Linked DNA regions of Pelodiscus sinensis. The protein of the gene in region 3 binds, or shares a complex with, the protein of the main gene of each other region. Links are inferred from orthologs where the notes say so. Each region holds a gene or a part of one and is shown on either strand. Other genes may lie near its edges. The genes, in order: MED20, MED16, MED23 and MED13.

Evidence for each region.
Region 1: MED23 (region 3) and MED20 share a complex: the UniProt entries of both Homo sapiens proteins name them as parts of the mediator complex. The link is inferred for Pelodiscus sinensis from reciprocal best matches to the Homo sapiens genes MED23 and MED20.
Region 2: MED23 (region 3) and MED16 share a complex: the UniProt entries of both Homo sapiens proteins name them as parts of the mediator complex. The link is inferred for Pelodiscus sinensis from reciprocal best matches to the Homo sapiens genes MED23 and MED16.
Region 4: MED23 (region 3) and MED13 share a complex: the UniProt entries of both Homo sapiens proteins name them as parts of the mediator complex. The link is inferred for Pelodiscus sinensis from reciprocal best matches to the Homo sapiens genes MED23 and MED13.

Annotation. Positions count from the first base shown.
Region 1 is NC_134737.1:9,513,373-9,521,289, reverse strand, and holds the start of MED20 (mediator of RNA polymerase II transcription subunit 20), read right to left. Parts: upstream 3,013-7,917; 5' UTR 2,820-3,012; coding exon 2,806-2,819; intron 1-2,805. Other genes in the region: BYSL (bystin), read left to right, coding at 3,915-4,194, 5,641-5,803, 7,272-7,410. UniProt on the Homo sapiens protein: Component of the Mediator complex, a coactivator involved in the regulated transcription of nearly all RNA polymerase II-dependent genes.
Region 2 is NC_134729.1:16,242,596-16,249,505, forward strand, and holds the start of MED16 (mediator of RNA polymerase II transcription subunit 16), read right to left. Parts: upstream 3,015-6,910; 5' UTR 2,871-3,014; intron 2,081-2,870; exon of another isoform or gene 2,061-2,080; intron 2,054-2,060; exon of another isoform or gene 1,071-2,053; intron 830-1,070; 5' UTR 772-829; coding exon 636-771; intron 342-635; coding exon 234-341; intron 1-233. UniProt on the Homo sapiens protein: Component of the Mediator complex, a coactivator involved in the regulated transcription of nearly all RNA polymerase II-dependent genes.
Region 3 is NC_134713.1:93,693,532-93,700,556, forward strand, and holds the start of MED23 (mediator of RNA polymerase II transcription subunit 23), read right to left. Parts: upstream 3,006-7,025; 5' UTR 2,701-3,005; coding exon 2,641-2,700; intron 1-2,640. UniProt on the Homo sapiens protein: Required for transcriptional activation subsequent to the assembly of the pre-initiation complex. Component of the Mediator complex, a coactivator involved in the regulated transcription of nearly all RNA polymerase II-dependent genes.
Region 4 is NC_134731.1:5,974,061-5,981,392, forward strand, and holds the start of MED13 (mediator of RNA polymerase II transcription subunit 13), read left to right. Parts: upstream 1-4,316; 5' UTR 4,317-5,984; coding exon 5,985-6,050; intron 6,051-7,332. UniProt on the Homo sapiens protein: Component of the Mediator complex, a coactivator involved in the regulated transcription of nearly all RNA polymerase II-dependent genes.

The DNA.
Region 1 (7,917 bases), on a different chromosome or scaffold from region 3:
CTGTTCTGCATTCCCGTGCTCTGACCTTTTTCCTTGTCTGGTCAGGGTGCCGCTTGGGACAGCGAGAGCTGACGCTGCGGCCAACAGAAGCCTGTCTGGGCCACGTGCAGCTCTTAAAGGGGCAGCGTTGGGGTTTTTTGGGGGGGTTTTGGTTCAACAACTTTCCGGCCGACGGCTGTTAAAGGGGCAGCGGTTCCCCCCCCCCCCAACAACTTCTTTCCCTTGGCTCTTTGCACTGTATCCACCACTATTTTGGTTCTTTGTCTGTAACGGGTTGACCACCCCTGCTCTGCAGTATAAACTTAGTACTGCAGAGCCCACAGTGTGTAACGGGTAAAAAATGTTAACGGCTACACAGTTACCTAGTTAACTACCTTTTAATATCCCTAATAGAAAGACATGGTAACCAAGTCAGAATCCAATTCAGCAGTCAATGTACTTATAAAGTCTATAATAGAGATCAGAAGCCAACATATGAGTTGCTGGATCTGTAGGGTACTTGCATACTTGACTCATGCACTTCAAGGCCAAGAGAGACCATTGTGATAGTCCAGTCTGACCTCCTACCTAACATAGCACAGAGTATGATAGAGTAATTCTTCCATCAAACCCATATACTTCTATTTGAGCTATAGCATTGCTTTTAGAAAGACTGCTGATCATTAAAGAGACCGTTCAGAAGCAGGATTTGAACCCATGCCTGCAAAGGAAGCTAGAACACCCAGAAAAGGATAAAACAGCTTTGCATATGGCTTCTAGGCCGCTCAAACATCCCATGGTTAACAGACATTTAAGAGACCCCCTAAGGCAGACACAGCAAGTATTGGCACCACACACAGTACCACAGCAAAGGGTGCCAAATACCAGGACAGACGGGACACTGTAAAGGTAAATTTTCCTTGTCACCCTATAAACGTATAAACTGAGCATCACACAAAAGAATCTGTTTTACACAAGATTTTTGCCGTTACAGTGATAGACCCAGATAACCAAGAGCACATTTGATCCCATATTATCCATGGAGCAATTCTGTTTCCCGCTTAAGTAGTATAAATCCTTGGTCTCCTGTTTTTAAATACATACCCTCCGTGCCCCTGATACCGACTGCAATACCAGTTATCCCTTTAGTTTATTTTACGAGCTGCAGTATTGACATAGCGTGTCGGTAACATGCCCTAGCTAGATCCCTGTCAGAACATAACCCACCTCCCTCTTTGCATTCCCTGAGCAGCGGTGTCTCTCTTCAGACAACACCCAGTCAACCTGTGGAACTCCCTGCCAGAGGATGTTGTCAAGGGGAAGTCTATAACATGTTCTAAAGAACTAGCTAAGTTCATAGAGGATAAGTCCATCAATAGCTATTAGTGAGGACGGACAGGGATGCAAAATCATGCTCCATTTGTCAGAAGCTGGGAACGGGCAACAGGGGAGGGATTATCTGATGATTCCCTGTTCTGCCTATTCCCTCTGGGCACCTGGCATTGGCCACTGTTGGAAGACAGGACACTGGGCTTGATGGATCACTGTTCTGATCTTCCTCACACGCCTGAGCAAGAACCCGGCCTCAGCCACGTTCTTCTCTGCTGGGTGCCTTCTCCCATTATTTCCACCTGGCCACATGTGACGATGAGGGATGTCAATGCGTAGTCAACTACACGATTAACCAATAAGCCTGGACTTATGGGTTAATCTTGTTGACTACATGCAGCGCAGAGGATGAGGGGGGTAGGTTGGAGTCCATACGCACAGGGAGCAGGCTTTCAAGCAGCTTCCCCATGAGTGCTGGCTCTGGGGACCTACCTGACCCCCTTTGCTGCCTCCTACAGAGGCAGAGAGGAGGGGCCAGCCAGAAGCAGGTTCCCCCCAACATCAGCTCTGTGGAGCTGCCTCCCCCTGGCGCTGCTGCCTCTATCAGCGGCAGTAATGCGGGGGTGGGAGAGGCAGGGGAGGTTGCTGTGAAGTTGGCTCCGTCCATGGCACCCTGGGCTTGCCGTGGACAGAGGCTGGTCTGCATCAGCAGCTCCTGTCCTTTTTTGGGGGGGAGGGTCCAAGCTCCCCGTGGACAGGGCCTGCTGTCGCAGACCAGACTCTGTCTGCAGGGAACTCAGACCTCCCCCCCCACCCTACACGGACAGGGGCTACTGCCATCCCACGCTGCTACCTACGTCTTAGAGGCAGCAGCATGGGGCTGCAGCTAGCCGGTCTGCGCAGGGAGCTGTTTTTTAACTGGCTTCCCTTGTGAACTTGTTCCCGCCTGCCATCCCCTGGTGCTGCCTCTGATACAGAGGCAGCAGCCTGAGGTAGTAGGGGGTTCCCCAGGTGTGGGGCTGGGAGAGCACTGGCTGCCGCTGCCACCCCCGCCCCCAGGGGCGATCGAATAATCGTGTAACTTCTAAGATTTCATGTGCTTACACAACTATTGAATTACACAATATTTAGCATCCCTAGTGAGGCAGGATAGTGGTGCTGGCTCCAACAGTAAGACAAGCCCCAGCCACTGCAACACAGGCTCGAGAAGCCGCAAGAATCAATGCAGCCTGAAAACGCATCTGTCAGCTCCTCCTGCCACAGAGCAGCTCCTAAGGACTTAACCTCTTAGGGCTCAGCGCAATGAGCTCACCCTGCTGCAAATCCTCAGCCCTCCCTCTCCCGCAATTCGGTGCAATGCTAGATCAAAGCTGCCGAAGCAGAGCTGCTCCTTGCAGACCCCCCCGTCTGCAAACCCCACGCCGTGGCATTAATGGCAAGCCAATCAGGACCCAACCACATGTATCCTTTTTAACCACGCGACATAGAACGTCTCACCAGGTAACTCCCATGCTTCTTGAAATCTTCACGTCGGGCTGGACCGGTCCCTATGCAAGACGGCGAGGGCGAGCTGATACTATCTCGGTTTAAAAATATACTTGCAGCAGTGACTTGGCTAGGGGTGTATCTCTCCGTGGAGGAAGCACACTCGCTAGCTCCAACCCCTCTGCGGTGTCAAGCACCCAGCAGGAAATGATATCAGCAAGAGGGGAGGATTCCAGTCTCTGGCCAGTCCCCCTGCCTCTCGGTAGGTGGGAATTACAAAGCTAGTTCCTCCTAGAGGCAGATTAGTCCCCAAGGACTGCGAGCAGCAGATGGCACTAAATATAAACGGGGGGAGGAAGGGGCTGGAGTAAAATCAGGTTTTAGGAGCCCAGGGGCATGTTAACCACTGATGCAAAAGATTTTAACGAGCCCCAATGGAACTCTGGTGTGGGCTGATCCTATTCTAGGACCCTAAGAATTATGTAGCCAAGTAACCAATATCCCCTGCCCCGCCACCAAGTTGTTCCAGGCTAATGTATCTCAGTGGAGTTAATAGCATCCTAGACACTAAAACTAGAAGGGACCCTGAGAAGTCATCCAGTCCAGTCCCCTGCCCTCATGGCAAGCCCAAGCACTATCCATAACAGATGTTTCTGCAATCTGCTCTTAAAAATCTCCAGTGATGGAGATTCTACAACCCCCCTAGAGAATTTATTCCAGTGTTTCACCATCCTGACAGTTAGGAAGCTTTTCCTAATGTCCAACCTAAACCTCCCTTGCTGCAATTTATGCCCATTAATAGGTGGCTCCAGTCCGTGTGTCAATAAATCCCCCTTCTCTCTGCTGCTTCTGAAAATGGAACTCGCTGTCGCACGAAGGACTCCCTCGAATTGAAAGCTCTGCCTTGGGAGAGGTTCCTAGAAGGCGCCCTAAAATAGCACGCCTGCGCCTTTAAGAGCCGAGACTGGAGACAAGCGTTCATTACGCTGTTGCCAATTTTGGAACGGAAGGACTCCCAACGTTCCAAGAGCGCATGCGCCCTCCCTCTTCCGAAGACGCGCACTGTCGGGCCGCACACGTGCACTTCCCGCAGGTTGCGGGGAGAGCGCTGGGGGATCACTATGCCTAAGGTCAAGCGGCGGAGGGGCGCAGGGGAGGCGGCCAGGAACCTGCCCCTGGCCGAGCAGATTATACAAGGGGACTCGGTGAGGCCCACCACGCGGGTGAAGAGGCGAGGCAGGGGCGGGCAGCATGGCGGTGGGGAGCAGGAGGAGCAGTACGTGGATGAGAAGCTGTCCCGGAGGATCCTGGAGCAGGCTCGGATCCAGCAGGAGGAGCTGGAGGCGGAGCACTGTCCAGGCAAGGGAACCGAAGCGAAGAAGGAGAAGACCACGGTGCTGGGTGAGTGGGGGAGCCGCGCTGATTCTCTTACCGTTGTTTGTGGCGGAGAATTGAAGCGCAGGGCGATCTCTAAGAACAGCGGATTAAAACAAAAGTCCCGGTGTCGTGGGAGGAGGCATTGTGCTGCCCTGGCGGCTGCCTTTGGGATGAGACAGCAAAAGGGACAGGTGTGCTAACCTTGTAGCTTGGTCTGAGTTTTTTCATGGGAAGGCATCCTGCCTCCGTAAATCCCCCCCTTGTATCCATTGTATGTATCCTTAAACTGCCCCCATCACTACAGTATCTGACATCTCTATCATGAAGGGATCTTATCCTTACAGTGATAACCCACACACCGATTGGGCGTGTCTCACTGTCCCATGGAGTGGCACTGAGCCCCTTATGGAGAAGAAGAGTACGTTTCCTCTACAGCCTCAGCTGAGAGCCAGCTGGTTTATAACTGAAGCTGTAGAGGCTCACACACTAAATTCCAAAGGTTCCAGGTTTGGTTCTGTTACACCAGCACCTCGGAGATACTAGAGACAAATAGAGTCTACAGTTGCACAGAGAGATCTAGGGACTTACCCAAAGTCACACAAGAAATCTGACTTAGGAACTGAACCCAGGTTTTTTGAGTTTTAGTGCCATAGTCTATTCAGTGAACCATCCTTTCACCTGGATAATACGTTCTTCATTTCCTGTCCCAAATAATATTTTTATTGTACATATGACAGTACATTGCATTAGTCAGTTTATTTGTCACTTAGGACCAGCTTTTTAATGGTATTGGAGTTGGTCACCGAAATACGTTTTACAGCATGGCCCCTAGTCTGTGATCTTGCAAAACTGAGCAGTTGTATTAAAGCTGATGAGTCTGTGTCTGAGTATAAAGTTCAGTGTGTATAACACACACATCATAATCATTATACCCTCTAATCTTTTCCATCCATGTGCAAAATACATTTTTATGGGCATCGAGGTATATGTGAATGTGCACCACACAACCTAGCTGTGGATGCTCTGCTAATCAGCTGAGTGGCATTTGAATCCCACCTGAGCAGCTGCAAAAGCGCACAGGCTACAGGGAATGCTGGTTATAATCCCCTAAAAAACAGGCGGCGGGGCGGGGATGCACGTATATAGGACCTGAAACCGTTTTTAATTCTTTAATTAATAAAGCTTGAAATATGCACCGTAATATTTAATTGCACATCTGTGCTCCAACATTATTGGCTGGCCACAGCAGTTGTTTAAGCAATTGGCAGAGGAGAAGCACGTTTTGGGCCTGGATGGAAATTCTGATTGCCCCTTCAGATGGACTGCCCCTGGGTATCCCTGGTCTGCCTTCCTATAGTGGGTGGTTGTCTACATTAGAAAGGAGCTGCTGTAAATTCATCTCACTGGCCACCCAGCTACTGGCTCTGCACCCTTATTTGTCCAACCTTAACAGGATGTGGTTTATTTCAGGGTCCGGATTGCGCGATGGGGATTCTGACGCAGAGGATGATGAGTGGCCCGCGCTGGAGAAGGCTGCATCCATGGGAAAGGGAGAGTACTGTGAGGAGGTGACGGTGGACCCTGAGGATGAGAGAGCTATTGAGATGTTCATGAACAGGAATCCTCCGCTAAGGTAGGAAGCAACCCCGATCGCGAGAAATTAAAAGGCTGCCCCCCTGATTAGCAGAGGGCCTATAGCCAGCCTGCGTTTTCTATTGGTGGTGCACATCCGCACATGGCACGGTGCACGCAATAAAACTTATTCTGCACATAGATGGAAACAATTGGAACATTGCCCCTGAGCCAAGGGATGTAAGTGTTTCTGTACTGGGCCCAACTGCGCTGCACTCGGATAGCATTGAAGTTTAAAACAGCGCTTTGAAGAGGTTACGTGAATTCTAGAGGGTGGGTTTGGTTGAAGGTCCATCACTCTTCCACAGCTGGGGAAACTGAGGCATAGGGGAGGATTGTTTTTTGCCCAACCTCTTAAGGCAAGTCAGAGGCGGAATTAGGAATAAAACTCAGGATTCCTGACTCTCCTGTGCCCAAACGGTAGATAATGCTGCATGTCCTCTCCATGGCATATGCATGGGGCCAACCATAGTAACTCCAATTGCTGGAGAGCAGCAGTGGGCAGCCTATGACCCATGAAATATTTTGTTACCATTGCCCATACGCGGGGTTGCCAGATCCCACTAGTTTCTGTTGGCGTCAGGTTTTTTTCCCCTGCCGGTATTGCAAACGTGACACACTCATAAAACAAGAGCACGTGAGGCGAGGTGTGTGCTGGTTGCACACAGCATTGGCTGCGAGAGCTGTGTGCTCGCTCTGCAACCAATCAAAACCCTGCTACAGTTCATTCGGCATGCCCTGCGAATTCCAGGTACACAAGCGCAGTGAGCAAAATGACCCTATCCCGGGAGGCTATATTGGTTACGACACTCTTGCGGCCCACTGAGATGGAGGGCCACTCCTGCGGCCTGCTCAGTAGCTTAGGTTGCCTGTTGCTGCTGCAGTGCCTAGAGGCCCTGCTGAGATCAGGTGCTTGGTGCTGTACCTGTATTCCAAAGACAGACATACCCGTCATAGACAAGACAGATAAAGGATGGGAGTGGAAATAGAGGCACCAAAGGGGGAGAGATTTTCCCAAGGTCACCCGGCAGGGCAGTAGCAGAGTGGGCTGTGGAACCTCCCTGCTCTGATTCCTACTGCAATGCTTTGTTCTTAGGCCCTGCTGCCTTTCATAGAATTCCAGGGCTGGCAGAGACCTCAGGAGTCATGGAGTCCTGCCTCCTGCCCACAGCAGGACCAACCCAACTAAATCAACCCAGCCAGGGCTTTGTCAAGCCAAGACTTAAACACCTTTAGGGATGGAGATTCCACCACCTCCCTAGGGTACCCATCCCAGTGCTTCCCCAACCTCCTAGGGAAATAGTTTTTCCTAATACCCAACTTTGACCTCCTCCACTGTAACTTGACCTCCTCTGTAATTTGACCTCCACAGTAACCAACCTTTGCAGGTTGGTTTGCCAAGGAACAGGCTGATTCTGTCCTAGGCCTAATACCAGCTCTGCATTGATTCCTTCGCCTGTATCTGCCAGGCTCACGCTAGCTGATATCATCATGGAGAAGATTACAGAGAAGCAGACCGAGGTGGAAACCGTGATGTCAGAAATATCAGGCCACCCCATGCCTCAGCTGGACCCCCGGGTGCTGGAGGTCTACAAGGGTGTCAGAGAAGTAAGAGCAATCGCATTTGTGTAGCAGCATTCATCTTCAACGCATTGTAGCTCTGCCAGGAGCTAGACTGAACCAAGCTCAGCTGTTCCCATGGCCAGTATTCACAGTTGTCATGGCTTGTGTCTTCAGCCTCATGGCTTGTGCTGAAGAATATCTTCACCCACTGCTAACATGCAGCCGTCTCTGGGGCGGAACATGACAGCTGTCTCTGTAAAGTGCGTCAGGGTCAATAAGGAGGCACCTTCTGCAGGGTCTGAGGTTTCCATCCTTTCTGTCATTACATCCAAGATACGGGGGGGAAAAAAACCTCTGGGACTGTTAATTGCACTCTTATGTTGAGAGAGTTTTTACTGCTCAGCTGGTGGTAAGACAGGACATTCGAGCTGCTTTTAAAATTCTCTTGCGTCCAGAAGCCCCGAGGTGCGTGGAAGCCTGTGAACAGAGGGAATTCCAGTGTGATTAGTTAATGTGCACCAGGCTTTCCAATAAAATCACCCCTGTTTCCAC
Region 2 (6,910 bases), on a different chromosome or scaffold from region 3:
GAAAAATGAGAAGCACAGTGCTCTCTGAAATCCATTATGGACCTCACAATGCAGATCAGCCAGAGTTAGGCAGCGCAGATATTACACAATGGGCACTTCCAAAGATTTCAGACAGCAGGAATCTAAAAGAGAAAGACCTTCACAATCTCCTCTCTATGCCCCATCACACTGTGAGCAATTTTATGAAGTCCTCCCTAGCCCCCTCAAAAAAGCAACTATAAAAAGTAGTTTACCTGACTGATCCCATTCCAAGCAGGTGATGATTTCAATGTGCCCAGAGTTAATGGAATAAACATCCCACGGATGCTCCGTGTCCAAGATATGGATCATGTGGGTAAGATCTAGGCAGGGAGAGACCCGAGTCCAGTCAAGAATTGGCAGTAGAGTTTATTTTTAAAACATTCCATTTTTTATTGCAGGTCGTCAGTGAAGGCTGCAGTTATTTTTTATAGGGCCATAAACATGTGCTGATTTACAAGTCCAAGAAATCAAGTCTCTGCTCTGACGAATCGAAGATCTATTTTCTACTGCAAGAATAGCCTAGAGCAGGGGGGTTTCCACCTCGGGGTTGTGCATAGGTGTTGAGAGGGGGAACAGATACAAATCACAAGACACAGAAATGGGAGGACGGGTACCTTTTTCCTCCTCGTTTTTGAGGTCAGTTGTGAAGGCAATCAAGTTCCTGCAGGACCACGCGCACACCAACGGGATGGAAGGACAATGGTTGCTTTTGGGCCTTTTCTCCCACTCACAGACATATGCCAAATCCATTGTGCCCTGGAAGACCTTCAAGACGCCACTTGCCTGTTGAAAGCCTATTCATAGATTTCTGTGCATAGGAAAGAAACAGATGACTAATCTCTGAATAGGAGAAACGTCTATTGTACAGTCACACGCTCAAAGGACCTAGGTACATTGTCAAAGATCCCCTTTAAACACAGCTGCAGCCATTTTCACTTTTCAGAGGAAATTTGCTGCTTTGTGCAATCCCCATTAAAAATAGGATGCACTGACTTACATTGTCAGTCAGAGTAGACAATTCCCATCCTGGCTACAGTTTTAAACCTTACCCTTTTAAAAACTCCTGTGATAGCTGGATTCCCCTTCATTGCCTCTGCTCTCCTTTGCATTAACTCCGCTCCCTGCCATCCTTTCCATTCTCCCAGGACCTCATTCCTATCAAGATCTCCCACCTAAGAGCCTCCCAATCTCCATAACTCATCCTTTGTCCCTAAATGTAAGCCAAATGGAATGTGTCTCATACAGATTCTGAGCACCATTAATTAAGATTTCTTTAAGTAGGCTTAGCCCATACTGAGGCATCTGGGGAGAAAGGAAAGCCATAGAGTGCATAATCTTTACAGCCACGAGCACCTGCTTTAAAGGTTAAGTTTTCCTCTAAAGTGGGGAGAACGTAATCATACAGATTATCCATTATTCCACCTCTTCCCAGGTACAAGAGTACCAAACCTCCAATCCAAGTCCCAGATTGCTCATTTTCCTTGTGGGCACCTATCGCCCTAGGCCACGAATGAAATCGTTCTATTTGAGGGAAGAACGCGGTGAAGATAAAACAAGAGCCCACGTGGGGAGCTGGATGGTCACTTCCTTACATATAGGTCCAATAAGCACACGAGATAATAACTCCCTCTGAGCTTCTGTTTAACAATCCCTGATCTTACCCCGGAAATGCCCTATGGGGCAAAGGGGCAGTATCTGTACAGCCTCTGGAGTGGAAACATGGCTACTAGCCATGGATGAAAGTGGACGAGGAGTCTGAGACGCTTTTAGAAAACCTCTTTTTCCCTTAAGCGATCTGCGAGGGTCAAAGGGGGTCCCCCAGAGGTATGCCGTCTGTCCCTGGCAGGGCTACCATGCGGCTGCGAGTGTGTTCTCCCCGCACCCATGAACCCCTGCTACCAAGGGCAGCCCCCTGGGGCCGCTGGAATCCCTCCACTCCCAACCGTGCGGGTAGCCAGGGTCTTCCGCCCCGATCACCCCAGCACCACCGAGCTGCAGTGAGTGGGAGCCCGAGCCCCCGCCACCTAGCACAGCCAGACCTGGGCGAGGGGGGAGGGGCCACCTCTTCCCAGATGTGGGGGGGGGGGGGGCCTTGCTTTCCCCAGAGGCAAAAATAGTAATTATCCTCCCCAAGGATGGGTAATTACCCCCTCCCCCAGCCAGAGTTAATTATCCCCCCTCCCCCAGCCAGAGTTAATTACCCCCTCCCTCCGAGCCAAGTTAATTATCCCCCTCCCCCAGCCAGTTAATTATCCCCCCTCCCCCAGCCAGAGTTAATTATCCCCCCTCCCCCAGCCAGAGTTAATTACCCCCTCCCTCCGAGCCAAGTTAATTATCCCCCCTCCCCCGAGTTAATTATCCCCCCTCCCCCAGCCAGAGTTAATTACCCCCTCCCTCCGAGCCAAGTTAATTATCCCCCTCCCCCAGCCAGTTAATTATCCCCCCTCCCCCAGCCAGAGTTAATTACCCCCCCCGAGTTAATTATCCCCCCTCCCCCAGCCAGAGTTAATTACCCCCTCCCTCCGAGCCAAGTTAATTATCCCCCTCCCCCAGCCAGTTAATTATCCCCCCTCCCCCAGCCAGAGTTAATTACCCCCCCCCGAGTTAATTATCCCCCCTCCCCCAGCCAGTTAATTATCCCCCCTCCCCCAGCCAGTTAATTACCCCCCCCGAGTTAATTATCCCCCCTCCCCCAGCCAGTTAATTATCCCCCCTCCCCCAGCCAGTTAATTACCCCCCCCGAGTTAATTACCCCCCCCGCCATGGTACCGACCCCTCCCCGCCCCTCCCCCCAGCCTGGTACCGACCCCGCCCCCCCCCCACGGGCAGTGGCCGCGTCCCCGACTCACCGCGCTCCCCGCATCCCCGCGCGCCGCCTCCCGCCTGCCGAGCAAGGCCCCCGGCCCGGGCTGCCCCAAACGCGCCTGAACAAACCCCCGCGCTCAGGCGGCAGCCCGGACTCGCCTCCGAAGCCCGGGGGAGGGGAGTCCCGCCCTGCCGGCCCGTGTGCCAGGGCGGGAGGCAGGCTCGGAGCCGTCCGGGCGCAATTCGCTCAGGCACTGAACGGGGCAGCCCCAAAGGGAGGGCCTTCTGCAGCTGAGGGCGCTGCTGGGGTGATTTCCATATGCGGCTACCCATAATGCTCCAGGGCCCCGAAGCGGAGTGGGGGCAGAGTATTTCGACTAGATCAGTGAACATAAATGAAAAAAATTATTAGAAAATCAATACGATGATAAGGATCAATTGAGCTAACTAGATTCATTATATAAATACAGTGATAAAATAGTTTGCTCACCCTCAGCTAAAATAATTTTAAAAGGTAGAGGTATAAATACTACTCAGGTGGCTTTAGCATTTGTGCTCGCTTCGGCAGCACATATACTAAAATTGGAACGATACAGAGAAGATTAGCATGGCCCCTGCGCAAGGATGACACGCAAATTCGTGAAGCGTTCCATATTTTTCTTGCCTGCAAGGCCTCCTCTTGTGATGCTCCAGTTCACTGACTGCCTCTGCAGCGGCTTTAAAGTCTCTCTTTGCACCCAAGGAATCCTCGAATATTAAGTATCAGAGGGGGAGCCGTGTTAGTCTGAATCTGCAAAAGCGACGAGGAGTCCTGTGGCACCTGATAGACTAACTGAAGTGTAGGAGCATGAGCTTTCGTGGGCAAAGACCCACTTCGTCAGATGCATATAATTTTCTCGAATATTATGGTTCCCCCAGGATCCAAATTTACCCCAAGATCTGTCTTCACCCCCCAATCTCATGTGCGTCAGTTTCTTGAGATTTAGATAGAGCCCAACACACCCCAACATGTTTTCTATGGGTGAGCTGACAAAGAACTCCAGAATCCTGGCATTTGCATAGATGCAAATAAGCCCCAGTAACTTGTGATTTGAGAGATGGGGAGAGCGGCCCTGCCGACTGGTAGAACAGCTGGGGAGCCGCTCGTGGCCCCGGCGGGCGCCGGGCTGTTTGCCCACGGGGCTCGTTGCAGCCCCCGTGGCTGACAGCGCCCGTTGGGGGCAGATGGGCTGCGGGTGTAACCAGGCCCCAGTCTCATCTGCATCCCCCTCCCCCCCCGCTGTGTCGCCCTTGGGCGCCCCCCACCCCCGGCTCGACTGACTCCCCCACGCTCCAATCGCTCCAGCTGCCGCTCCCCAGGAGGATAATAGCCTTCTGCTGCTTCCAGCTGGTGGAGCTGCTGCCCCTGCCCGCCACTGCTCTCCGCAGTCACCTCCCGGGGGCCATGCCTGGGGCTGGTGGGGCGCCGAGAGGCTGCACAACGTGGGGGCAGGGAAGGATGGATCTTAGCCTGATAAATAAGGGAAACTCCAGGCCGTCTGCCCCAGGGGAACAGCAGCATCCCAAGGAGGCTGGAGACGGGGAGGAGGGGGGAGCCAGCTGGATCCCAGCCCTGCCCAGGGGAATCAGGCACCACCGGTAACACACAGCAGGCAGCTGCAGCGCTGGGAATGAGCCAGGCTAAGTGGCAATAAAACCCAGCGGGGGCCAGGGCTGGAGAGGCAGGGCCGGGGGCTCTCGAGGAGGCCAGGGGAGACGAGGGACCCCGGGGGGACGTAGAGGACGAGTAGGGAGTGGCCCAGGAAAACCCACAATGCAGAAGAGGAGCAGGCCTGGATCTTCAGTGCCCGAGCCAGGGCCAGACTCCAGGCCGGGAACGGGGGGGGCTGGGCTCCCCACAGGAGGCCGCCAGGCGCGTATCTATGCTGCAGCTAGACACCTGCGGCTGGCAGGCGACAGGTTCCCAGGGCTCGGGGGCTGCTTCCCGGCTGGGCAGCTGCTCCCACAGGATGCTGAGCTCTGGGACCCCCCAAGAGAAGAGCTGGAGCCACTGACACTCAGCAGCCCCTGCTGCTCCCTGGGGGCTGCGATAAGGGGGGCTGGGGGTGTTACCACAGCAGGCCTGCCTCTTGCGGCCTCCAGAGCGCAGGCGAGTTCCTACAGGGCATAAAACCGGAGTCTGGGTCGAGATCTTGCGGGCTGGGGTGTGGAAGCCGTTTGTCGCTATGCACCCCCTCCCCCCCTCTATCTGTCTGGCTCTGAAACGTTTCCATCTCCGCTAGAATTGATTTTGCTGGGTGTAAATCACTCCAGGCGCTGGGATGCAATTGCCAGGCTTGGAGAGTTACATTTCAGGAGAACGGGGACGGGACAGCTGCAAATATTACTGTGTTTGGGGGGGAAGCAGGAAGGGGGTGGGAAACGAAGGGAAGAGGAAATGGGATTCGTGTTTGTTGGAAGTGAGCCCCAATAAACATCCAATCAAAAGCTGTGTCTACATTGCACGCTTCTGGCACAAGGACAGCAGGTTTGCCTCTCCAGCCTTCGGGTCTGGCTCTTCTCTGTTCACCGGGGGGGCCCCCACAGATCAGCCCGGTACAAATAATGTACGGGAGCCGGCCCAGAGACCTTGGGCACACAGAGGGTTCAGCTGAATCGGAGCCACCTTGTGTCTAACACTCTGCACAAGGACTTTAACCAGGGAGGGGGCAAGGGCTGTTTTCCATCGGCTAAGAATCGCAGCATCCTGGCTGTGTCTACAGTGCCCACTTCTGGTGCAAGGACAGCAGTTCTTGCGCAAAAACTTGCCGGCTGTCTACACTGCACGCGTGTTCTTGCACAAGTAAATTTACAGTAGAGCGTCGGAAAACAGAAGAGTTACTCCTCTCCCCAGGAGGAATAAGCCCTCTTGCACAAGGAGGTGTAGACAGGCAACATGACTTTCTGGTTAAATTGGCCAGCAGAGCTTTCTTGCGCAACAGAGCGTCCACACTGCCACGGACGCTCTTGTGCAAAAGCACATGGCCGTGCGGACGTGCTCTTGGGGATGATTTTTTGCACAAGAATTCTTCCACAAAACAGCTCTGGTGCAAGAAGCCTGCAGTGCAGACGTAGCCCTATGTGGTACCCCGGCTCCTTCACCTCAGCCTGTGTTTGCTTCATGGGCCTGTCAGGTCACCCTCCAAGTTACAAGCCGTTTGGGACGGGGACAGTCCTTCGGCACCGGGACAGACCGGGCACAGCCAGCGCTGAACGGTAGCGAGGAACCTCCTCCCAGCCGGCATCGTTCTCTCAAAACCCAAAGGCCGCGTGCTACAGGGAGACGTCAGTTTCGCCCGATTTAGGAGGGGCCCCACAGCTCTCCCCTGGCTTATAATCTCGTTTCACCTCTATATGGCCAGCTAGTCGAACCTGTGAGCTGACACGGACTGACTGTTAAAAGGGAGAAAAGTCCCTTTCAAAATTGCGCCCTCCCCACCTTTACGAAAACCAGGTGGGCTGGGCCCGGTACATTCAGAACTCAGCTATTATGGAGGACAAAGCTTTTGAATGGGAGATGGATTGAAAACATAATTCATGCCTATGTCAGGTTCCCGACACCCATGGCGCTAAGTGGATTTAAACTCAGCGGGGGGCGGCAGCTGGCAGAATTTCTTCCTAATCTACATGGAAGATTGGCGAAGGCAACAGCAGCCGCCTGCAGTTTCTCCCCGCGAGGATGACTCACGTGTTAATTGCCTCTCGTCTTCCTGCAATAGGCTATTCCATGAAGCTGTGTCTTTGCCCCCCACAGAGGCCCAGCTGTCCAGACCCAGCTCTCCCGCAGGGACTGTCCAACTGCCCCACGGCGAGGCGGCGGCGCGTCTCCCGCTGGCAGCGCTGTCCACACCAGGGCGTTTCCCAGCAGATGGGCAAGGGGCTGTGGGGCGGTTTTCTCCCAGCCGACTGACGAAAACGCCAGTGTGGACGCAGCCCGAGCGTCCCACATCCCCGACCCTCCCGCCCGGCTCGGACGAGCGATCGCTCTACGTGACCCATGCGCAGACAGGCGACTCCGGAGCACTGCGATTTATTGTCCTTTTCG
Region 3 (7,025 bases):
TATTGCAAGGTAGATATAAAAAGATTATTTAAAAAAAAATTAACACACACATTTTTAAAAAATAAACACTGCCAATAACTCCAGAGGTGGTCAGACATGCTGGGCTGGAGAAGCCCTGGTCACCGCGAGCCACTGGGCTGGGTGGTGGGACCCCCAGCTGCAGCTGCGATAGGGCTGGACAGGAACTAGGTTAAAATGGTTAACCAGCCAAGTGCTACCGTTTAACCATTTTAACATCCCAAATAAACATTTAAAATTAAAATTTTAAAGTATGTCTATGCTTTTTAAAATCTTACAGCTTGATGTCTATCTGGAAACCAGTATCAAGTGGAGTGCCCCAGATGTCTATCTTGGGGCCAGTTTTGTTCAACATCTTCATTAATCTGGATAAAGAGATGGATTGCACCATCAGCAAATTTGTGGATGACACTGAGCTGGGGGGGAGAGGTAGATGCGCAGGAAGCAGGGATAGGGTCCAGAGTGACCTAGACAAATTGGAGGATTGGGCCAAAAAAAAATCTGATGAGGTTCAGCTAGGACAAATGCAGGGTCCTGCACTTAAGATAAAAAAATCCCATTCACTGCTACTGACTGGCTAAGCAGCAACCGGCTACCAACTGGCTAAGCAGCAGATCAAACTGCAGTGGGGGAAGTCTAGGGTGGTTATTAGGAAAAACTACTTTTCTAGGAGAGTGGTAAGCATATGGAGGTGATAGAATGTCCAACCTTAGAGGTTTTTAAGGCCTGGCTTGACAAATCCCTGGCTGGAATGATTTAGTTGAGGCCCTGCTTTGAGCAAGGGTTTGGAACAGATAGTCTCCTGAATTTCCACCCATGGGGACTGCTCCTTGTTAATGGTTAACGATTACCTGGTAAGCATCACCCTTAATTATTAAGGGTGATGCTTACTTGGTCACATCCCTACTTTTCACAGAAGATGACTTGCTAGCTAGCAAATCTAAACAAACGCCACCACCACCACCCCGAAATGAGCAAAAGGAGCAGGCAAAAAAGATAGGATGGTACAAAGCACTTTATTTGTATTTCTATTCTGTTTAGGTCCAGTGAAGAATAGAGACAACTACATTATTTGTATTACTGAATTTGTAAACCAAAAAAAAAAAAAGAAAAAAAAATCCCTTGAACTCTACACAAATAAGTTAGAAGGATTTGGACATGTATATGTTCATATTTATTTGTTCTGCCAAAATTTAATTAAATATGTTAGGAAAACAAGTCAAAGTGGCTGCCAGGAAGAGTAACTTGTGAGAACTGCTGCCTTACTACTACTACTTAAGATTCAGCCTTTTGCATCAGACTGCCAAATCTCTTGTAGAGGCCATTGTCATCCAAGACTTTGAGTGTTATAACCCCAATCTCTGACTGTGACATCTGCCACATCACATTCCTTAAATCTACTAAAAATAAAGGGATCCGCTTATTTTCCTAGCTCCAACTAGGGATGTGATTAATCCATTAGTTGACTAACCTATAAGCAAAAGCTTATCGGATAGTCAACATACTAGTCAACTAGCCGCTCCCCCACTCACAGAGAGGTGGGGGGGGGAGGGGGGGGCAGAGCTGGTTTAAAAGCCAGTTCGCTCCAGCTCCATGGGAGGGGACAGGTGTGCAGCAGCAGAGTTCCAACTTTGAAATGTACAAGAATCCCCACTGGGGCTCCTGTACATTTAAAAAAAAAAGAGGAAGCGCCTGCATGGAGAGCGGTCCAATTTTTAAACGTACACGAGTCCCTGCTGGGGCTCTTGTACATTTGAAAGCGTAAGTGCCGGCATGGAGCCTGGAGTCAGCGGGGGGTTCCACACTGACCCTGGGCTCCTCGCAGGCGCTTCCACTTTAAACTGTACAAGAGCTCAAGCAAGGGTTCTTGTACATTTCAAAGCGCAAGCATCACATGGAGCCCAGCCTCAGCCTGCTGGGACTCTTGTACATTTCAAAGGCAGAACGCCTGCTAGTCCTTATTGACTTAATGGAATAATAGATAGAAATCCCACGGACTATTCAATTAGTTAATTAATCAAAATTTAACCTCTCTAGGGCCAACCACATCTCTCTACTCTTGGTAGCCTACTGGCTCCCCTCTCTTCCACTACATCAAACACAAAACTCCTGGGTTTTGCTTTTCAGGATTATCATTTAGACTTGTGGTACTCATCTTCATAACTAAATGACCGACCCACCAACCCTGTCTTCATTTGACCAGTGATGCCTCCTTGATCACCCTCTTCTGGCTCAAGCATTCTCATGATTTCTCCCACGTCACCACGCTACCCTTTATGAAAACAACCCCCCAAACCCAACCCACTTTGGCTGTCAAAGCCATCAGCTGTCCTCTTTTAAATCCCTCCTTAAAACCAGCTTCTGCCCCACCTATCACTCCCCCCACAGCAGTTAGGCAAGAAGGGAGCCGAGACCCAGGCTCTTTCGCTTTACTCTTCTCTCGCTCTGCCCGCCCGTTCTTAGCGGGACACGTGAGGCTCTTCAATAGCTTAACGCCGGCACAGCGGGGCCCGTGTTCCCCTCCCCCGGCCAAAGCGCGCCAGGCCCGCACCCCACTTAGCACTGAAGTCTCGAGCCAGCCCCTCCCCGCAGAGGCCCCACGACCGCCCGGCCGGGGCTCACCACCACCTCCTCGAAGATGCTCTGCAGCTGGGTCTCCATCGGCACCATCGGGATGGCCATGGCCCCGCCCCGCGGCCCCCGACTCTCTGCGGGCGGCGGCACCGAACCGGGCCCGGGTCCCGCAGCCCCGCCTGGGGGTGGCCGCGCTGAGGAGCCGAACAGCGGCGGCGGCTTCTGGCTCAGGCGGCCGCGGCCCCGGCGGAAGGTGCGTCCCGGAATCCGGCCCCGCCGGGAACCAGCTCCCCGGGCCGGGCAGTTCCGCGCGCCTCGCTCCCCGGCCTGAGGCCCGCCCCGCTGCTGCTGGACGCGCCCAGCGCACAAGCCGAGCGCTGCTCTGCCTTTGCAGGGGCGGGCACCGCCGGGCCCAGGCTGGCGAGGCCTCAGGCTTCTCTGGTGCTCAGGCGGGGGCGCATCCTCTACTCCCTCCGGCTCAGCAGGGCTTAGGCAGCAAGCCCCACGGCTGGCAGCGTTTCTATATCGTGTTGCCAACTTTTCCCAGGCCAGCGCTGTCCCAAATCTGCTGAAAAATTCCCAGATTATTTTTTACATATTATAAAGGCTATTTTATGTATCGTTAATTCGTTGGTTTTATTTTATATACATATATATATATATATATATATAATTAATAACTCGAAATATACGACAATAATTTTGATGGTTTTATGATGCTCTCTATAATTAAAAATATAATTTTATGAAAGCTGAACTTTTCATCCAAAAATAATTATTTTTCATATATCCAAATATCCTTAATTTCATGGATTGTATTTCATACAATGAAAGAATAATAAAACAGTTTAATTATTTTACTCCTGGAGGATAAAATCCGTACAGTATACACTTCAGTATACACTTCAGTATACATTTCAGTTATATATGATAAATAAAGGAAGTCGTCAAATATAAAATATTTTCGTTTCATATAAAATGAATAGAATATTTAATACATAATATTTAACTATCACGATGAGTTTTCAGTTGAGTCATGACTTGACTCCTCACTAGAAATGTCATCACCAGCATTAATATTTTTATCAGTCTGACCACCAGTTTTTCTGGCATATCCATATTCATACTTATTTTTATTATGTAAACTTAAATGCTTCTTTGTAATTACAAAACTAGAACATTTTTTTTGCTTTAAAAGCTGAGCTGATAATTACACTAGAATTAAGTGTTTTAGTTTTCATGTTACTCCTTTTAGTTTTAATGTCTGTAACCATTGAAAAAATTCTCACATGCTGCATTTGAATGTGGCAATGCTAAAACCTTTTGAGATAATTTACAAATGTTTGAAAACATACATTTTTCAGAAAAATGTTTCGTTTTAGAAATTTCATGCCACATTTCATTAATAGGCTTATTCTTTACACATTCAGTTTGATTTGATTCTAAAGAAAATGGCAAGGCTTTGAGTTCACTCTGAGCAGAGTTCACATGTATCTTAAATACTGCACAAAGTTTGGAGATATCTTTTTTTTCTTTATCTACATCAACATCCTAAGACAAATTTTAGGATCTATAAATCCAACCTCTGAGAAAACAACTGAGTCAAGTGGCAGCCTGTGCTGCATTTCTTGACAACAAGTGATGTAATAATGCTGAATCACTTTTCTTACATTGATAGCTACACTAGGATCAATACATTTTAAGGACTCCTCACACTCTGGACCAGTATACATTTCATTAATTTTGATAAAAATAGAGGGATGCGACACATTAACTTTCATTGTCACCTTTTAGGAAATATGGTTGTAAGTAATTTGTTGCAATTACTTTGAAAAGGTTCACTGACTGGTTTAATGCAATGAATGAGTGGAGATTGGCTTTGAAAGAGAGCATTGAATTTGTTCGTGTAATCCAAAACATATTTCAAAAATAGTAGGTAGGCTTTAAGTTCTGGATTACACATTGCATCGTCTATTTCTTTTGCTTTTGGTCTTTTTTGATCGACACACTCAAGTTGTATATAGTTAAACAGGGCATCCCACAGCACTAATATTCTATTTACACAAGGGTGTACAGCTAACCACCTTGTTTGACTTGAGTTTAACATAGATAAATTTAAATGGAGAAAATATTCAACCATCTCCTCAATTTCTTCTTTCTTTTTAACACTATGTGCTGGATAGTTAGTGATATTTGTTATAAACTGCTCTACGAAATTAGGCAAAACTGTAGAAGCTGAACTTGATATCAGGGCTGACATATGGCAAATACATCTCAACAAAACAACATCTGGAACATCCTCTCTAAGTTTAGAGAAAAAGGAATTATTTGCTCCTATCATCAAATTTGCACCATCACAAGCAACACCCAAAATATTATTCAATGGGATATTTTTTTGAACATTGACTCCCTGAATTTAGTATAAATGCTTTCCACTGTTCAATTTTTAGCATCAAGTTCAATGAGTTCTAAAAATTGACAGGCAACCCTATTGACCAACTGAGAGCAGTTTTTGATAAATCTGAATGGTCTGCAAATTTTTATACCAAAGGAACGACAAAATGAACAGAAATTTTAATTTTATTGAAAATTTCCCAGGATTTAACAGATTTTCAAGAAAATTCCCAATTTCCCATTTTGACACATTATACTCAAAAATTCCCAGAATTTTGGAATTTTCCCAGGATATAAAAACACTGACTGCTGGGCACCCTCTCCAGAGCTTGGGAGCAGTGGTGCCTACGGTGGCCAGGCTGCCTTCCTAAACCAAAATCTTGCTGAGCCTTGTTTGTAGGAATAAGGTGCAAGAGAAAACCGTACTGCAAAACAACTCAACAGCTGTCGTGGGTACATTTCCCCTCACCCCCCCTCCCCGGTCCATTTTATGCTAAGCCCTGTGGTGTGTAAAAAATCCACCATCTGGAGTGATGCTTTTATACACTCAAACCCCATGGAGAGTGTTATGTACACACAACTTCTTTCACATAGTTACTGTTGCTTAGGTCTGTGTAATAGCATCTTCGCTAAGGTGCTACAGCAGTGTTCTTCTTCTAGTTAGGATATTTGTTCTTGTATATTTACAAGTCTGGAGAGCCTCCTGGAAATACAAAAAAAACCTAATAAATTAGTCTGGTAATCGAAGTGGATGGCTCATGCATTGGACCTTAAGGATTAGTAGTAGATGTCTGAAGCAAACAGGGTTTTCTTAAATAATCTTGTTATCTTGCAATAAACCTCCTTACAACAATCAGACAAACATATAGAGCATATAGAAGTCATAAATTAATACAAGCGAACCCCACATATTTCAAAAGTTTACATTAGTATAGCTACGCTAGTGGGAGTAACAGTAGAAGTAACGAGAGGGTGAATTCTTCCATCTCAGTGAGTTTCACAGAGCCTGTGAAATGCATTGTGCATGGTAGGGATGTAAGCAAGTATTGACCATCCAATAAGGATATGCTTATCAGAGAGAGGCAGCAAGTCGGGGGAGCAGGAGCCGATGCTGGAGGGAGCCAGCTTAAAAGCCGGTTTACCCCAACACTAACTCCACTGGGAGTCTCTTGCTACATTTCAAAAGCAGAAGCGCTGTGGAGAGTATGGGGCCAGCGCGGGACTCAAGAAGTCCCCCTGTGGCCCAGTGCTCCCTGCTTTTGAAATGTACAAAAGCTCCAGGGGGATTCAAAAATACATCCCCAGGCTCCAGAGGGTGACGCCTTTGTCATTATCTCACTGGAGGACCTTCCCCACCACCCTACCTTATCCTCCCTACCTTCATCTGACTCCAGCTTGAGTCGGGGGAATACTTGAGTCCCCCTGTTGGCCCCAGTGAGGCTCTTGCTACATTTCAAAGGCAGAGACGCCCTTATCGACTATTTGAATAGTCGATGAAAATTCCATCAACTATTCAATTAGTCTAAATTTAACATCCCTAGTGCATGCCCAGTCTCAGCTATTCACCCCAATGGCAACATTGTATGTTTAGTAAGGCTTGCAGCATGCGTTCTCAGTTCTCTAGCCAGAGGGAGAAGTAAAACAAACCTGACCCAGCCCTAACCAGAATCCTGGTCTTTAATTCTGCCACACACTAAATCTAATTTGGTGCTCAGCATGGTCCACATGTTAATCCTGCCTTGAACTCACAAACTGGCACTAATGGTAATTCTAAGCCTGACCTAAATCTAACCATACTTCAGTTTATCAGTTTTAAGAGACGCCTAAAGCAGGGGTGGGGAACCGTTTGTGGGCTGCTGTCCCACAGAAAAATAAGTCTAGGGCCAAACACAAGTGAGAAGCAAAATACAAACAAACAAACCCTCACTGATGTGGCCCCCAACTCAGAAGGAGAAAGACACCTCCCATGTTCCCCTCATATACCAGAGCTAAGTGGGGTCCAGGATAGTAGATTTTGTGTGCTTCAGCCCCCTTGTACA
Region 4 (7,332 bases), on a different chromosome or scaffold from region 3:
GTGTTCCAAAGGGCCCTCCTCCCACAACCCATCCCTGTCCCTAACTGCTATATTTACAAGAGCAGTAAGGGAATGAATCTCTTGGGTTAAAACATTCCAGGTTAGTTCTAATTAAAATAAATAAAATAAAATAAATATCCTGCTAACATATGCTGGCATACAAAAATAATATTTCTGTGAGAAGTAAACTTATGAAATTTTTTTCTGAAAAGCAAATCTGTACCTGCTCATTGACCTTTTATATTATAAACTTATAGTGTCCTTTCCTCCCACTCCTACTCAGGACCTGTAGCACTTAGACACTGAACACATCTATGGGCCCTAAAGTAATTTTCAGGGTCTGTGAAGTGTCAGGTTTCATAGCTTTACATATCTTTGATCTAATGAGTTGGGTTAGCAGGAAAACATATTGGCTATGTCTACACTACAGGGGTTTTGTGCAAAAACCTAGAGAGCATCCACACCTCAAGCATGTTGTGAGTTCTTGCGCAAAAAGTTGTGTGTGGATGCTCCACAGGGGTTTCTTGCGCAAAAAGAGCCTATCAGAAAAAGCACAGGTGTTCTGATGGCCATTCTGTGAATTACAATCAGAACTTTCTTGTGCAAGAGTGTCCATGCAGCGCGGACACTCTCTTGAGCAAAAGCACATCGCTTTTGCAATGCGCTTTTGATGTGTGAATATGCTTTTGTGCAAGAAGCGGAAGATCTCTTCCACGAAAAGCTTCTTGCACAAAAACCCTGCAGTGCAGACAAAGCCATTTTGATATAAATGTTATGTTAGCCAAAATATTTGAAGGTATCTTTTCTTTGCTTGAGCCACTTTTGCAAGTTTAAAATACAACCGCAACAAACTAGGGATGGTAAATATCAGTTAATTGAATAGTTGAGTTAACTTGTGAATTCTTATCTGGTAGTCGACTATTCTATAGTCTCTGGGGGCGGGGCCAGCAGCCAGTGTACTCTGGCCTCACTCCGGAGAAGACCCCTGCCACTCCACACTGCTGCCACTGTATCAGAGACAGCAGCGTGGGGTGCCAGGTGGGAGCAGGTCCATGAGGGGAGCCAGTTTAAAAACCAGCTTCCCTTGTGGACTGGCTGCCAATTGTTACGTGGTGCTGCCTTTACAAAGAGGCGGTGGCAGCAGCCCCTGTCTAGGGGGTGGTCTGTGCTCCCGGACCTGGCGTGAGCTGGAACTGAGCTGGGCTGCCTGCCCACCCAGCTCCTAATATTCTTTAAATGCAGAGTGTTTAAACGCAGTGGGGGTAGGTCCCAGACCCATCGCAAGCCAGGACTAAGCTGGGCTTCTGGCCAGCCTGATAAAAAATTTACTGGCAAGTATGGGGGCAGGAATGCATGTAGTCTATAGCACTAACCTATAAGCTTTTGCATATCGGTTAATTGACTACACTTTTACATCCCAATAACAAACATATATATGAAGTCACATAAAATAATAAAGCGTTAAAGTTTGTATTCTACCTGCAACCTAGTAAATGCTATATAATAGATCCACCATGATGGGGTTAATACAATGTTGACTACTTTTAAAAACTTTAAATTTTAAAGTTATTTTTTCAAATAAACGTTATATGACTAGAGTACTTCTACTTCTGAACAATTTCATCCTGCTTTTGCAGCTACATACAATCACCACCATAAGAACAAGCTTATTCTATCATACACACTGCATAATACTTTACTGAGAATGGAGCACAGTTCTGCATCAGGGTGGATTTGATGGCTATAGAATCATGGAATACATAGGTGTTATAAAAAACACTCTGTGTTTTCTAAACTTTAAGAGACAAAACCCACTCCTGGAGCACAACTAGCTGTTCTGTGGGGTGTGAGGAGGGGAGTAAGATATGTCTTTGGGTCCCACTCTGTTCTCATGGCTTACCTCTTGAGCATTACTGCTTAGCTAGCTTTAATTATTTTACCCTATCTTCTCAGTATATTAAAGAATAATTACATAAGTTTGTATAGTTTTAATTGTGCCTATTATATTTAAAGAACAACAAAAACATTATGCAAGTCGAAAGTCAGCACTTCCCAAGTTATTAATACAATCAAATGTCCTGTAATTTAAATTTGAAAGCAATCTGCTGCATTGCTTAATATCACATAAAGTAATCCGCTAATTATTCAACATGGAGATTTGTTGAGACATACATTATGCTGTAAACAGCAGCATTAGACTACTTACAGTTGTAGCCTCATGCATTTTGCTTTCATGCCAGTCCATGGTCCAAGACTTCTGCCAAGGGGGGTAGATTATGCAAGCTTGTGCTCAAATGAAATGACTGCCCCGTTCATTGAATGCTTTTGGTCCATTGTAGACTGAAGGTAATTTGGGAGTGGTGGGGATCAAGGCAGGGAGCTGAGAGTGTGGGGGGCTCGGCAGAGGGGCTTTTGGGGTTCAGTAATAAGGGCAGGGTGATATGGGGGGTGGTGCAGGAATCAGAACAAGTGGTCGGGGGTCAGAACATGGGCCTGGGAGGTTTAGGAGTGAGTGCAGGGGGAGTGAGGGTGTGCAGGGCTGCGGTCCCACACACTGATGATCAGGGAGCAAGAGGAAGTGTGCAACTTGTGTGAAGAACACCTCTGCCCCTCTCCTGGGCAGTCAAGAGTGGCAGGAAGGCACACAAACTGTGCATTTTTCCCCTCCCTACTTCATAATCAGAAGAGGAGGAAGAGCAGTGGGATCCAGGTAAGTGAGGCTGCAGGTCTAGGGACTGGGGATGTCCTGGACTGGCGGGGAGCACGTGCACACCCCCAGCCAGCCCCTTTCACCTGCCTGGCTACCTGCTTCTGAGCAAGGCAGTCTACTGGGGAGCCCGCCTGGGAGTGATGGCATTCAAGCACCCCAGCTGGCCGGCTTCTTCTCGCCAGAGCACTGTATCGGAGCGCACCGGCTTACTTTCACCTCTGGATTTGGGGTCGTCTGTGGCCATGGGCCTGCATGCATGGCATGTCCTGCATGCCCCCCTAGTTTTGCTTTTGCCTACTCTATAAGTGTAAACTCCAGTTTGCTCTTGTGCATTGACCTCTATCAGTATGTGCCAGGATTTGGAAAAAACTTGAGTTCTCCTTTCCTGGATTTAGGAGGAGTTGATGAGGCTTGGATTTTGGGCCCCATCCTTAGGTTACTGGCAGGTGCCACAGGTGGGTATGTTGATAATTCTTGAGTGATATATGGGAGGCTGGAATGTGAAGCCAATTGGCCTCTGTTCAAATGCTGCTGGATGGAAATATGGATTACTCCCGCAGGAGATTTAAACTAGCTCTTTGGGTGGGGATTTAAAGCCCAGAATGGTAGGACCTGGTAGGGAGACAGGTTTCAACTCTGTGTCCAATGTGAAGACTTGTGGTAAAGCGGGACTTTGATGTTTAAACTAATTGCAAAGGAGCAATGAGAAGTCCTGTGACACCTTAGGCATGGTCTTTGCTAAAGAGGAAAGTCAACTTAAGAGATGCAACTTCAGCTACGTTTATTATGTAGCTGGAGTGGAAGTATCTTAAACTGTGTTTTGGTGCTTGTCTATGCAGCAAGAGACATACAGGAGCAGATGTGCCCTTGAAGTCCCTTAGTCTTCATTAGGACTACCAGCACCGACGGGCATGCCCTCCCAGTTTGAATTAGCATGACCTGCTACTTCCAATCCTGGAAGATCAATTGTGGCAGTTTCCATCGTCTCCATAGTGTAGATGAGCCCCACGGGACTCACAAAAATATATAGCATCATGAACTTTTGTAGACAACACCCACTTCATCAGATGATGAGCTGGAGAGGAATAACATGCATAAGTAAAAGCGACGAGGAGTCCTGTGGCACCTTATAGACTAACTGAAGTGTAGGAGCATAAGCTTTCGTGGGCAAAGACCCACTTCGTCAGATGCATCGAAGTGGGTCTTTGCCCACGAAAGCTTATGCTCCTACACTTCAGTTAGTCTATAAGGTGCCACAGGACTCCTCGTCGCTTTTGCAGATTCAGACTAACACGGCTACCCCTCTGATGCATAAGTAAGTATTTTATAACAGGGGAAAAAAAGGAGGCACCTGTTAATTGTGGGCCCGCTGCTAATGAGGCGATGTAAAAATGAAGTGTTGAAGGAGCAGCTCATCCTCCCGCGCCACGCCACGGAGCCCCACTAGATGTCGCTCTCTCAACGAGCAGCGAGCCCCCTCTTGCGCAGCTCCCTAGCGCTGCCACAGCCCCCCACGGCCCGGCTGCGCCATTGCAGCCTCTTTCCCTGAACCTCGACGGCGGCCATCGCTGCTCCAGCCCACGTGACGCGGCGGCGGCCAATCAGCGCGCGGAAGGGGGGGCCCCCCTAGACTCTCGTCCCTGTGGCCGCCATTAAAGAAAAAGGGGCTCGGAATTAGACGGGAAAAGAATCTTCCCCCTCCCCCCTCGGCCGGGACGCGACATGGGGGCGACTCGCTGACGGGAGCCGGACGCTCAGGATGCCGCGGCCGGGCAGCCGCCGACAGAGACACCGCTGAGGGAGGAGGCCCGGCAGCAGGGGCTTCGGGGCACCGACTGCGGCCGCCGCGTCCCTCTGTCTCGGCGGCGGGGCCGGAGCGTGTGGCGTCGCCCCCCTCCCCCAGCTGAGGAGAAGCCGGGGTGCGGCGTCCCCGCCGGGGAGATCCGGGGTTGGCCCCCCCGCCCGCGGAGGCCCCCCCCCCCGTTGAGAGCGTTTGGGGTCCAGCCCGCCCTTTGGCCCCTCCCTCCCCAGCTAGGGAGCTCGCGGGGTGCAGCCCCCCCCGTCCCGAGAGACCTCTCATCGGAAGACTTGCGGGGTTCGCACCGGCGGAGGGACCTCCCCACCCCACGGCGAGTCGGTGGGGCTCGGAGCGCCACCCCTCCGGGGGGGGGGTCTGGTGGGGGTCAGCGCAACTTCGGGGTAGGCCCCTGCTGAGGAGAGACTTCGTGGGGCTCTGAAAAAAGCCGGGGCGCAGCCCCTGGGGAGCTCCCCCCGCAGCGCCTCGGAGGGGCGCCCTGGTGTGTCTCTCCCTTCCCTCCCCCAGCGAAGAATCTGCACGCACAACGGAGACTGTTGGGCTGGTTGCACCCTTCAGATAAGAGGATTTTTTTTGATGGGGGGTATGGTGACACGAAAACGTACCTCGCTGGACTGCTGCTGAGGGGGCTTTCGGGGTCCCCTTCTGAAGAACCCCCCTGGCGGATTTGGGGTACACCCCGGGAGAATTTTACCCCAGTCTTGGGAATCCTTAAAACAGCTGGTTTCTGAAACCCGAAGTTTTTGTCTGATCTAATCTTTAATTTATTTGGAATATATTTTGAGGGGGAGAAGAATCTGACACCCCCGCTTCTTCCTCTTCCCCTTCGGACTCTATCAACCCTCTACCACTCATCCCCCAGTCATTCCACTATTTGCCCCTCTCGTCTGGCGATTAAGAAAACGAGGAAGAGCAGGGAGGTGGCTGGATTAATTGCCCCTGTTGGATTATTTATTCCTCAACTCCCTCGTTTGGCGACTGAGATAAGAGGGAGGGGTCGTGAACCCATTTTACTTCCTGCCCCATTGGATTAATTACCCCACTTCTCTCCCCTTGTTGGATCAGTTACCCTATTCTCCCCCCTTGGTCTTCGATTGAGTAGACGAGAGGAGCAGGGAGGATTGTGTATCTTAAATCTCCCATCGTTGGATTATTGACCCCTTCCTTTTTTCTTCCCTTTCCTTGTTGTCTTTTCCCCCTGCTTTGGCAGAAGAGAAGGAAAGGTTCTGACTCTTGCCCATTTTACGCCGCTCTCCTTCTGAATATTTTACCTGACACTATTCTGTGTGTGTGTGTGGGGGTAAATTCCCTTATTTAATTGTATTATTTGTGCGTGTGTGTAACCTCCCTCCCCCCTTCCTTCTGTGTCTCTCCCTCCCCTCAGTCTCTCTCTCTGTCTGTCTCTTTCTTTCTTGTCGGAGGCTGTGGGATAATGGCGTGTGGGTTGTGGCTGTGAGGATGAGTTCCTGCTTCGTGCCGAACGGGGCCAGCCTGGAGGATTGCCATTCCAACCTATTCTGTCTGGTAAGTGTCCACCAGCTGCGGACACACTATACACAGAGGGAAAGAGTTTTTTTTGAGGGGGGGGGGGCGATGGGGGCGGGGGATGGAAGGGGTAGTGGAAGCAAAGCAGCCATTTTTAGTATAGCTTCTGCTGGATGAGTCCTCAGAGTAGGCCCTGCCTGGAACCAGCTAGCTTTTCTATGTCCCTCTGTTTTTCCTCCTCCTCCTCCCCACCCCCCTTTCCACCCACATCGTTGCCTCTATAATACCGTCTTTCCCTCTTTCTCTTGTCACTTTTGGCCAATATTACCCCAACACTTAGATTTTCCATTCTGTTTGCTTGCCCCCAACTTTTTTCTGCTTTCTATTAATTTTTTAGCTCTACCTTCTCACATTTTTATTTTAGTCCTGACAGAAGGTATGTAGCTCCACTACTCTCCTTTCCTCAGACAAACTTTGTATGCTTTCTCATCCCCCTTAGTGATGCCCCAGAAAAAATCTCAGCTAAATCCTCCCTTTTTCCTGGATTCTTAATGCTTTCTTTGTCTAATTTTTTCCGTAAGAAGCTGGTTTTGGTGATGATATTCTTACAAATGCATATGCCAGCCTATACTTGTGCACCATTTCACATCCTTTATTTTTTTAACTGTTACTTTTGACAGCTCCTAAAGCCAGCTTGTTTTGGGTTGGGTGATGGTGCATTTTTGTGTGTGGCTATGGGGATTGCTGACATCTCATTTTCCTTTTAATGCAAATTAGTTTGTATCAGGTTGATGGGTATTTATTATTGCAGAGACTGTTGTAAGTAAACCCTGTGTCTTACTGTTCTTGCTGTTGTATGTTTTGGGGGAGGGGAATCTGGGCAGCTTGAGCATGTCTGCAGGATACCAGTATGAAGGCTGCATCAGGCCTGCAGCTCAGTATGAGTAACATCTTGTAAGTCTTTCAAAGTACCAACTGTTGCAAATTCCTTAGCAACCCTGAGTCCAAAGCCTGATCTTCTAACTGTGGTGGGGGAGGACACCCCATTAGATAAACTGTGCAAATTGTTGTCATACCTGGGGGAGGAAAGACAGGAGATTAGAAGTATGTGGGAGAAGGGGGGTGGGGAATGGTGTTAAGCGCTAGGAACCCCCTGTACATGTTCATTTATGAGGCTGAATTCATTTGGCACCTCCTGCCATGTATCTTGAAGTCATTGTTGCATTTAACAAGGGTCAGGGTTTAAACCTTGTTTTTTGGTACAGTGCTGCTTTGTAAACAATAGTTAAAGTGTAGTGATTACCTGTATGACTATGAAGAT